3 linked regions of the Canis lupus familiaris genome follow. The protein of the gene in region 1 interacts with the protein of each later gene in a pairwise test. Links are inferred from orthologs where the notes say so. Each region holds a gene or a part of one and is shown in the gene's direction. Other genes may lie near its edges.

Region 1 (3,748 bases):
CCAGCCAGCCGCCCTGCCCGTCGCCGTCACCACTCCGGCTCTACCCAATTGGAATCCGCCGAGCCTAGTGCCCGAGCTCCTCAGCGCCGTTCCGGGGCTCCCCCGGCTCTCCACTACCTGGCCCAGCCTCGGGACGCTCGTTAGAACCAGGCATTTTCGTGGTGTCTCGCCAAGGTCACGAGATTCTCCTACATCTTTGAACCCGGTGGCCGGGACACCCTAGGGAGGAGGGGCTGCAGCTCTGCACCCAGTTAGCGGGTTAGCGTTCAGAGGCCGGAGTCCTCTCCTGCTGTCTCTTCGGCCGAGAGACCCCAGACCCACAGCCGCGGGAACGAGACCACGGTGTGCGTGAGTCCTAATGCTGTCGCCCCTACAGCCCGATTCTCAGGCCCCAGAGAGGGTCCCGGGCCACCTACGGAGAGGTTCCCTGGGGACGGCCCAGCAAGGCTTTAGAGAAGACCTGAAACCAGACAGGCTGCGGGCCAGAACTAGGGGCAGGGAATGAAGGGCAACCCGGGAACACGAAGCAGGGGCTGTGAGACGAAGGCCCCGGGGCCGGGAGCGAGGAGGAACTGCGGGCCGCCGGCCGGCCGGCCCCAGCGCGGAGGGGCTCGAGCGCTCTCCTCCCGCGGCCAGGTGAGGCCACCCCCAGCCCGCGCCGAGCCAGGGTGCGACAGCCCCTCTTCCCTGGACCAATCGCAGCCTTTCCTCAACAAAGGGGCGGGGCCGAGGGGCTGCCTCGCTCCTGGCCCCGCCCCTCGAGGCTCAGTAACCAATCGCAACGTGCCTAGAGCGAGCCAGCGCAATCGGACACGACCAATCCTATCGCGGAGCTCTCCGCGCACGCCTGCGCCTGCCCCTGCGCGGCGACAAAGATGGCGCGCGAGCTGCCGGTCTCTGTAGTTTCCTCGGGAGCCTGCGGACCCGGCGCTCCGGTTAGGCCTTAGCGCCCCGCCCCCAGCCGCTTCCGCTCTGCTCCCGCGCATGCCCACTCCGGGGAGCGGAGACGCGGAAAAGAGGCGGGACGCTATTTAAAAAAAAAAAAAAATTCACACGCACAGACACACGGACACACGGACACAAAGCCACCCTCCGCTCGGGAGGCCACCGTGGAAGGCTCCGCTCCTCCCAGGAGGCGGTGCCGCATCCCCGGGCGACGCCCGCGGGGGCTTGTGGGGCGGGCGGCTCCCCTCCCGATGGAGACTCGGGGAGGCGGGTGGGCGGGGGACTCCATGTCCCGGCATGCCCCGCGGCGGGCCCGACCGGCCGCGACTCGGGGCTCGGCCCCGGCCCTAGCTCGTCGGCGGTGTTCTGGGGCGCGCGGAGGCTGCAGTCACGGTGGGGCCCGCGGGCACGGAGGTGGGAATGAGTGAAGAGGAGCAGGGCTCCGGCACCACCACGGGCTGCGGGCTGCCCAGGTGAGCCGCTTCGAGCCGACCCCTGCCGGGCGAGAAGCGTGGCGCGGCGCGGAGGTGGTAGCGGCGCGGCCCCAGCATGCACCTGGCCCGAGGGTTGTTCCCGGCAAGCACCGGGGTAGTGGGCCGTGGTTCCCGGCATGCACCCCGGCAGTGGCCACGGCCTCCTGCTCTAAATAGTTTGGGGTTGGCCCGGTTCCCAGACTGCACTTGGGGCACTGGGCTTTGTGCTCCCGACATTCAGTGCGTTTGGTGGGTACCGGGTCCCTGGGCTGCACTGTGTGGGGACATGCACCTCCTAACTGCACTGGGGTGCAGGATCCTCCTCCTGCTTAACTGAGACAGGAACAGTGCGTTGCCCGCGTGCTCTGGGGGCCGTGGACCCGGCTTCCAGCCCGCTTCTACTCCACACTGAACCCAGCCAATGTGTGCTGTACTGCCCGGGGTCCCCTGGACCCGTGTCCCCCCATAGTGTGCCTGGGTCTGATACGACAGTGCTTGGCCGGGTGGGCGCAGAGTTGGAGGTGTGATAAGGGTCCGTGACCCCCTGCCCCCGCCTCCCCCAGTATAGAGCAAATGCTGGCAGCCAACCCGGGCAAGACCCCGATCAGCCTTCTGCAGGAGTATGGGACCAGAATAGGGAAGACGCCCGTGTACGACCTTCTCAAAGCCGAGGGCCAAGCCCACCAGCCTAATTTCACCTTCCGGGTCACCGTTGGCGACACCAGCTGCACTGGTGAGGAAGGCTTGGGCAGCCTGGCTGGGGTGTGCATCCGCAGGGCCCTGGTGGCTTTGTGTCCTGGAGTCTCTCCCCAGTCCTTTGCTCCAAGGCCAGTGAGGGAAGGAGAGATTTCAGGGGGAAAAGCCACGGACTCGTTTGGGGGAACGGGTCTTTGAGGAGGCGGGTAGGACTCCGGAGAGTTAGAGGAGCAAGCAGGACCGCCAGAGGGGTCTGGCACATTGTCGTCATCCTAGAGGAGAAAGACGGGATGAACCAAACTCTCAGCGAAGTTTCGAAGGAGTGAGTGCCTGCTGCACTGGGCTCTGTTCCAGGTGCTTGACCAAATTCCTAGTTCGTCTTAAATCGCAGTCTAATCCAGGGATGTGGGGGATAGCACCTCCGAGCTGAATATGAGGGAGCCAAGGCTCGGGGTGGATGTGAGTGGTGCAAGGTCCCGGGCCTGAGAAGTGGCGGAGCGGGGCCTTGACTCCGGAGCCTGCCCTCTTTCTACTTTCCCAGACATCTCTATGTATTGAGAGAAAAGAAAGCACTTCCCAGAGGCAAGGAGAGCCGGGAAAGCGTCTCTGCCCAGGGTGTCTGAGCTCCAGAGCAGTCGTGCCTGGCGTGGCTTGATTTGGGGAGCTCTGGGGAGCAGAAGCCCTCCCTTCTAGTAATTAGCGCAGCACTTCCGGTCTTGGGCAGGGGCAGGTGGTGAGAGGGGCTTGGTTGACTCCCTCCAGCCCTGAGGAGAGAAGCTGTGGGTGCCGGCTTTTCTGTCCTCCTAGTGACCTCCAGTATCGCCCACGCCCCTCTCTCAGGTCAGGGCCCCAGCAAGAAGGCAGCCAAGCACAAGGCAGCTGAGGTGGCCCTCAAACACCTCAAAGGGGGGAGCATGCTGGAGCCGGCCCTGGAGGACAGCAGGTGAGGGAGGACCAGCCGAGGCCTCGTAGAGACCCGGCCAGGAACCCAGGCCCCTGCGCTACCTCCTCTGCCCACCTTGACCTGGCCGGACAGGGCGGGATGCTTCCAGGGCTCCCGCTGTTGTGAAGGATCCTGTGGGGGGATGTCAAGGGGCTGTGGCTGTGGTGTGGGCCCAGGCTAGGGAGGGAAAGGGGCGGAGGCTGAGGCTAGAGGGGTCGCACCCCAACACGCCTCCTCTCTCTAGCAGGTTGTCCTCCCCTCTTGCACACTTACATTGGGGTTTGTTGCCTCCGTGGCTCTTGTGTAGGAAGAGACCGTCTTTCCCCTTGTCTCAGTCGCTTTGATCCAGTGTTTGGCAGCAAAGGATCCCAGAAGGTGGTGGTTAAGCTTCCCTGAGTCTTTGGCTCCAGTGGGAAGGGGTTTTCTTAGGGGACGGGCAGGTCAGGAGGACCTGGGTCCCCACCCTCTACTCCCCACCCCACCCCTGCCCACATGGGTGTGAATCAAAGGCCCCCTTCCCCTCGGGAAGTTCTTTTTCTCCCCTAGACTCTTCACTGCCTGAGGACATTCCAGTTTTTACTGCTGCAGCGGCTGCTACTCCTGTTCCATCTGCTGTTCCAACCAGGTATCTTGTGTTCCTGCCTGCCTGAAGGGGGGAGGTAGGGGTCCCGGCTCCTGGCCCCCCAGCCTT
Region 2 (3,508 bases), on another chromosome or scaffold:
CCACCCCACTGCCCCCCTCATCCCTCTGCCCCAGTCCTAGTCAACTACCAGTCTATTTTCCATCTCTATAGATTTGCCAATTCTGGACATTTCATATAAATGGAATCATACAATATGTGGTCTTCTGTGTTTTTGACATAGTGTTTTCGAGGTTCATCCATGTTGTAGTATATATCAGAATTTCTTTTTTTTTTTTTTGGCCAAATATCATTCTATTGTATGGATAGGCTACATGTTTATCTATCAGTTGACAGACATTCAGGTTGTTTCTACTTTTTGGCTATTAAGAATAATGCTGCTGTGCACATTTTGTGTGCAAGTTTAGCCATTTGGGACCTTGCAGTTGCTTCAAAGTTTGAAGAAAATTCTTACATGTACAGCTTCCACATCTTTTGTTTCCCTAATGTAAACTTACAGAAGTAGAATTGCTGACTAAAAGAACATTGCATTTTACAGAACTTGTCATATGGTTTCTAAGAAGGCTGCATTAAAAAATAAAAAATAAGAAGGCTGCATTGATCTTCTCTGTGCTCCCTTCGGTGTTATTAGCCTATGTGCTTAGTGATGGGCTTTTTTTTTTTTAAGATTTTATTTATTTATGTATTTAGAGAGAGTGCATGTGCAAGCGGCAAAGGGGGAGGGAGAGGGAGTCCAGCAGACTCCCTCACTAAGGGCAGAGCCTAAGATGGGCTCTATCCCATGACCCTGAGACCATGCATGACCTGAGCCAAAACCAAGAGTCAGATGCCCAACCGACTGAGCCACCCAGGGGACCCAGTGATGGGCATTTAATATCAAGTGCTATAAAATGGAAGCCCATGAGTTTTTGAAAAGACACGGTCCATGGCATCAAGATGCATATGTCCATTTTTAGACCAGATGAGCAGATGTAGGTACAAGGGTATTAGGTAGCAAGGTTATGTACATTATGAGGAGAGAAAAATAGAATGGTTAGATAAACACCTGCCTGGGATGAGATTCACACAGATATAATCATCAAACAACTTTTTACACCTAGAAGCTAAACAAAAAAGTTAATGGAACCAAACTGGCCTACGACTAGTTGGTCCAAAGTCATAAAATGTCCAGATTGCTTAGTCTGAATGCTTACCCTGTTTTTCAGAAGACTCGGATGTCAGCACAGTGCCTATTGGCTCTTCGGGCTTATCAGATCTGGCTCCAGCTGCTTTGTAGCCTCTATTATCTCATGATTTTGTCACATTCCTTGGAACATCTAAATAGCATCCCCTTATTGCCCTGTTTCTCATTCTTGTATATTCAGAAAAGTACCAATTAAAGATGATAAAATCCACAAGTAGTTCAGCTTTATAACTGAATATGGGAAGAAATGGGCCAGCCTTGCTCACTTACCCTGTTGATGCTGACACTGGCATGATCTCATGCCCAATGTGACCACCAAATTCCATCCAAAGCAACTGACCCATCTAGATCCAGAAAGACTATTAATCTGTAAAATTTGGGATGGAAAAAGTTATAGAGCTCTTCCAACAAGCTTCTTTTAAGCAACCGTTAATGCGGAAGCTGGTTACAGTGCCGCTTTTTTTTTCTTTTTCCAACTACTGAGACTCAGCCTTTTGAAACTAAACCATACCACATTGCAGATTCCATTTTCTAACAGGTCACACCCACTTGTGTTACACAACTCTTTCAGAAAACACCACATAGGTAGTTGGCAGAAAGTGCCCTGCTATTATCAGGAAGTTTGACTGGCAAACACAAGCTTGAAAAAACCAGAAACCTCTTTTCTCTTTTCCTTGCAGCTGTAAAGATGTCTGACAAGAACCAGATAGCTGCCAGCGCCTCCCTTATTGAGCAACTGCTGTCTAAAAGGAATTTTGAGGATCTTGGCAACCACCTTACTGACCTGGAGACTCTGTGTGTGACGAAAGAAGATCTCCAGGAGACCATTGTGGTCAGGGCTGTGTACAGAGTCCTCAAACACTGCCCCTCGGTGGCTTTGAAAAAGAAAGCCAAGCACTTGCTGTCAGAATGGAAAGCTCTTTATAAAAAGGATCTCCACTTCAAACCGAGGGACAAATCTTTCCCTACGGGTAGAAATGAAGAAAACTCAAGACTTTCTCATGACCCAAGTCAGGATGAGCTATCAGGCGGCTCCAGCTCTAATTCTTCATCCCACAGTGTTGCAGAAGCCTTTGAAATGATTGTGCCTGAAAATAGCACAAGTCAGACGGAACCTAAGGAGGAGCATTTCAGGAGTGGTGACCCTAAATCCACTGCCCAGAGATCCAGTGAGTTGCTGGATCCCATGGTACCTGTGAGAGCTAAATGCACAGAGCTTCTTTATGAAGCTTTAACTAGTCCTTTCACAGAGCAGCCCAAAGCTGATTTGTGGCGAAACTTTGCAAGAGAAATTGAAGAGCACATTTTTACCCTTCATTCCAAGAACCTCAAAAAATACAAAACTTGTGTGAGAAGCAAAGTTGCCAATCTGAGGAACCCCAAAAATTCTCACTTACAACAAAACCTGCTCTCTGGGACCATGTCTCCGAGAGAATTTGCCAAGATGACTGTGATGGAAATGGCAAACAAGGAACTGAAGCAGTTGAGAGCCTCCTACACGGAATCTTGCATACAGGAGCATCACCTTCCCCAAGCGATCGAGGGCACACACACAAGAAAAATAAAATGCAGACGCTGTGAGAAGTTCAATTGCAAGGTCACCGTAATCGCCAGAGGCACACTTTTCCTTCCAAGTTGGGTACGGAATTCAAATCCAGATGAGGAGATGATGACCTATGTGATCTGTAATGAATGTGGGGAGCAGTGGTACCATAGCAAGTGGGTGTGCTTATAATTGTAAATAAATGTTCTCTTAACCAAGAACCAGAGTGATGCCTTTTTTTTGATACCACCCTGTTATGCTTGCTTTTAAAATCTAATACAGGGGGGAAGCCCGGGTGGCTCAGCGGTTTAGCCCCTGCCTTCAGCCCAGGGCATGATCCTGGAGTCCCGGGGTCGAGTCCCACATCGGACTCCCTGCGTGGAGCCTGCTTCTCCCTCTGCCTGTGTCTCTGCCTCTCTCTCTCTCTCTCTGTGTCTCTCATGAATAAATAAATAAAATCTTTTTTAAAAAATTTAAAAAATAATAAATAAAATAAAATCTAATACACACTGTTCTTAAAACAACCCTACAAAGAAGGAAGGAAAGTCATTCGTTCAAGCTCACACCACAATCACTAAAATGTGACCGTTTGGGGAGAGAGTTGATGACTTTTTGTTTTGTGGCCACATATTACTCTGCTGTTCTCTGAGTGTGGCTGAGAGCAGCTCCTCCTGCCCTAGAGCCTGTTATAAATGCAGAGTCCCAGGCCTCGTGCTCCTGAGTCCCAACTCTGCATTTTGGCAGAGCCCCAGGTGATCCTGTTCAAGACGGTTTGAGAAGTGCTGCTTTCTCAGTAGGCCTGTAGTCCTGGGCGGCTGCCTATGAGAGTCCTCTGGGGAGCCTTGACAACCCACAGATGCTCAG
Region 3 (3,748 bases), on another chromosome or scaffold:
CATTCTTCCCCAGCTCTTTGCATGACTTTCCAGTTCTCATCAATCCAGTCTTAGATAAAATGTCATTTATTCAGAGGCTTTATTATTCAGTGAGTAATATTCCTTCCACGTCATTCACCCAATATATATTCCTGTTTTATTTTCTCCTTAGCACTTATTACTATCTGTTGACTTATTACACTCTCCTCCACTAGAAAAAAAAAAAAAAAACACTATACTAGAGCTTCCCTGTCCACAACTGTATTCCAATGCCCAAGATAACATCTAACTCATAGTAAACTCTCAATAAGCATTTGAATAAATGAAGTTGAAATATGATAATTATATTAAAAGTTTCATTTTCATTCATTCAACAAATATTTTGTATGTACCTATGAGAGCCCAGGTTCTATTTCAAGATGCTGGGGATTCAACTGAGAACAAAATAGACAAAAATCTCTTTCTTGGGGTATGACTACTAGTGGGGAAACAAAGAAAAAACAAGGTTAAAAAGTAAAAACATACTATATCTGATAATGTTAAGTGTTAAGAAGGAAAAAAATAATAAAGCAGGAAAGAAGGACATGAAATATGTGTGGAGGTGTTAAATTTTAGATAGGGTAATCAGAGAATGAAATGAGAGGCTGAGCCCTGAGGATATACGGGGGAAATGCATTCCAGGTCATGGTAACTGGCACAATAATGAAGGTGTTGGAGAGTAACACAATAAAGGATGAGACAGGGAGGTTAGGGGAGTTGGACTGTATAGAGCCCTTTGGCTAGACTAAGACTTTGGCTTTTACCAAGAGCGAGATGGTAAACTGTTGAAGAATAGGAGCATCAGGGTATCATGATGCGGCTTGTTTTAAGAGGATTGCTGGGGCTGCTGTGCTTCGAATACCTGAAGGGCAAGGGAAAGGACCAGTGAAGACGCTACAATAACCTTGGCAAGAGATGATGGCTCCCCAAGACTCGGGGAGGAGGAGTTGTGGGGATGGAAGATGAAATTTTGGATCCGACAGTCACATTGGGAGAGTTTAAGGGGGAGGTCTGCTCTGGGAGTTAGAACTTGAAACTCAAATGGTATTATTTATTATCAGCAGTAAACCAATCATGCAGATGGAGTCCTGACTCTACCACATCCTGGTAGCAAACTGTTGAGTCGACTATTTCTAGGTTCTGGGCCTCAGTTTCCCTAAGTAAAATGGAGAAAGTGTTCCCACATAACAAGGGCCTTCAAGAGAATGAAATGAGAAGTGTTGAAGGCTGACAGTGAGCAAGGTGAAAACCTTTGGCTTAAGACTGCACGAACCTGTACCAGAGGGAGGGGGCTGCTGTTAAACCAGAGACTGACTTTCAATTCCACAGCACACACTCCGAGAACCCCCAGCAGCGACCAAAGAGAAGCGTGTGGGCCCCCTACCGCAAGGCGGTCCGCAGAGCCCAAACCTCGCGAGATTTGTTGGCCGGGCAACGTCCCACATCTCGCGAGACCAAGGTTTATGAGTGACTATCGGCCGGTTAGGGCTTGCTGGAAAGATGGAGTATCGCGGGTTGGGCACCGTAGAGGCCGCGGACAGTGGAGGGGCCCGGCCATACAACAGCTCCGAGGAACGAGAAGGACGGGAACCGGACGGGCTGCGCTTCGACCGCGAGAGGGCGCGCCGCCTCTGGGAAGCAGTGTCCGGGGCCCAACCAGTGGGGAGGGAGGAAGGTGAGTCCGGGGACCTCAGAGGCAGCGAGTTCAACCGCCCGCTCATTTCACGGGGAGGGGCGGGAGCGCGGGGCGGGAGCACGGACAGCCCCCGGGTCTCCGGTCACACCCCCTGGCGCCCGGCCCGCCCCCTTGCGTGACGCGCCCCGGGACTCCTGGACTCGTGCACCCCAGCAGGGCCTGGGTACCATGGGCCAGGCACCCCGAAAATTGAGGCCGCAGCACCACAGGAATGAGGTCTCCGGGCTTAAATGGTCAAGGCCCCTCTCGTACTCCGGTCCCTCCATTCTCACCCACCAGAGCGCAGCTCTTCTTCAACTCTTCTTAAACGACTTTCATTCCTATCCATCCCTTCTCGGAGACCCACGGAGCCTTCCCCGCCAGACTACTAGCCCCCCACCATTTCTCACAGACTCCATCGTCCCAGTCCACAGGTTCCCCCACCCCTATGTCCCTTGCCTCCTTTGCATCCTTTCTCTCATACCCCACACTGCCAAGGACTCCAGAAGGTCTTCTTTTTTTTTTTTTTAAACATTTAAGATTTTTTTTTTTTTAAGATTTATTTATTCATGAGAGACACAGAGAGAGAGGGGTAGAGAGAGAAGCAGGCTCCACGCAGGGACCCCGACGTGGGACTCGATCCCAGGTCTCCAGGATCACACCTTGGGCTGCAGGCGGCACTAAACCGCTGAGCCACCCGGGCTGCCCGTCCAGAAGGTCTTCTTAACCCTATGTTCCTCCTGGCCTTGGTGTCTTGAACCTGATTTACCCCTGTTTCTAGGTGTCTGGTCTCAACTGCCTGGGTCCTTTTTATGAGGTGAGGGCCGGGAGACTGAGAAACTGGCCAGAGTATACTTTGGCTCCAGCTTCTTTGTATCCCATGCTTGTGCCAAAGTTGTGGAGAACAGGATACAGGAGAGGCCACTTCTGGGCTGAAAGCTTCCCAGCTTGCTCTGCATTTGACCTGGCACTGGGTAAAGTGGAGATAGAGGAGGATGGTAAAAGCTGGCCTGACTTGGTTGTGTGACCTCTTTCATAGTCCTTAGCAGTTAGCTGCTTAACTCTTAGCCAGAAGTACAAGAACTGTTTGGCCTGTGCTAATCCTGTCAAGTAATCTATAGGGAAATCAGATAATTTGTTTACTTGGTGAGCAGACTAATCTTGGAAAGTTTAATGTATTGCTTGTGAACTGATTACCCTGGAATAAAATGGAATTTTGGCCACATCCAAGGAAGGTATGTTTACATTTGGGGTGGTACACAGACCTATGCCCTTTTGTATGCTTCTCCAATTTAAAAACTAGTCTAGTCTGACTCCTAAATTAATATGGGCCCTCTTTCTGCCTCATAATTTCAAACTTGTTTGATACAAATCCTCCCCCAAACACACCCCAATTTTCCTTTCACTAATTTGACAAACATTCATTGATACCTGCTCAGTACCCAGGATGGCTGGGCATCAGAGCTACAGAGATGAGGAAGATACTGTCCTTGTCCTGAAGGGATTTTATAGTTCTAGTCCAGGAAGCAGACACCAAAACAGTTTCAGCTTAATGTAATGGGTGCAGTGAAGAAGAATGTATAAGAATTGGTTGTGCACAAAGAGGGAGTGACCTTTGTCCTTGAGGGATAAGAAGGGATCGCTTGATCTTGAAGCAGAGAACACAACAGCTGTGCTCTAAAAAGTGAATTGCTTATGTGTCTATGAATGTACAGTGTCACTTAGGACCCAGCTCATTTTTCCTACTCTCCTCACTTTCCAATAATTATATGAGGCCTAAGTAGATACCTGTAACCCCAAGTTCTACTCCTCTTTGTTTTGTTTTTCTCTTAGCAACTTTTTTTTTTTTTTAACATTTATTTATTTATGAGAGAGAGAGACAGAGAGGGAGAAGCAGGCTCCATGTCGGGAGCTCGATGTGGGACTCGATCCCGGGACTCCAGGATCGCGCCCTGGGCCAAAGGCAGGCGCCAAACCACTGAGCCACCCAGGGATCCCCTCTCTTAGCAACTTTTATTGATAATTTATATACCATAAAATTCACCCATTGTAACT

Evidence for each region.
Region 2: the proteins of TARBP2 (region 1) and TCEANC interact in binary tests that used the Homo sapiens proteins (3 or more experiments, as listed by UniProt). The two-hybrid records come from large-scale screens. The link is inferred for Canis lupus familiaris from reciprocal best matches to the Homo sapiens genes TARBP2 and TCEANC.
Region 3: the proteins of TARBP2 (region 1) and ZNF346 interact in binary tests that used the Homo sapiens proteins (3 or more experiments, as listed by UniProt). The two-hybrid records come from large-scale screens. The link is inferred for Canis lupus familiaris from reciprocal best matches to the Homo sapiens genes TARBP2 and ZNF346.

What each region holds. Positions count from the first base shown.
Region 1 is NC_049248.1:44,930,899-44,934,646, forward strand, and holds the start of TARBP2 (RISC-loading complex subunit TARBP2), read left to right. Parts: upstream 1-1,080; 5' UTR 1,081-1,365; coding exon 1,366-1,418; intron 1,419-1,509; exon of another isoform or gene 1,510-1,667; intron 1,668-1,981; coding exon 1,982-2,151; intron 2,152-2,954; coding exon 2,955-3,057; intron 3,058-3,586; coding exon 3,587-3,682; intron 3,683-3,748. UniProt on the Homo sapiens protein: Required for formation of the RNA induced silencing complex (RISC). Component of the RISC loading complex (RLC), also known as the micro-RNA (miRNA) loading complex (miRLC), which is composed of DICER1, AGO2 and TARBP2.
Region 2 is NC_049260.1:10,120,693-10,124,200, forward strand, and holds the end of TCEANC (transcription elongation factor A N-terminal and central domain-containing protein), read left to right. Parts: intron 1-1,781; 5' UTR 1,782-1,789; coding exon 1,790-2,836; 3' UTR 2,837-2,865; downstream 2,866-3,508.
Region 3 is NC_049225.1:37,188,224-37,191,971, reverse strand, and holds the start of ZNF346 (zinc finger protein 346), read left to right. Parts: upstream 1-1,471; 5' UTR 1,472-1,518; coding exon 1,519-1,693; intron 1,694-3,748.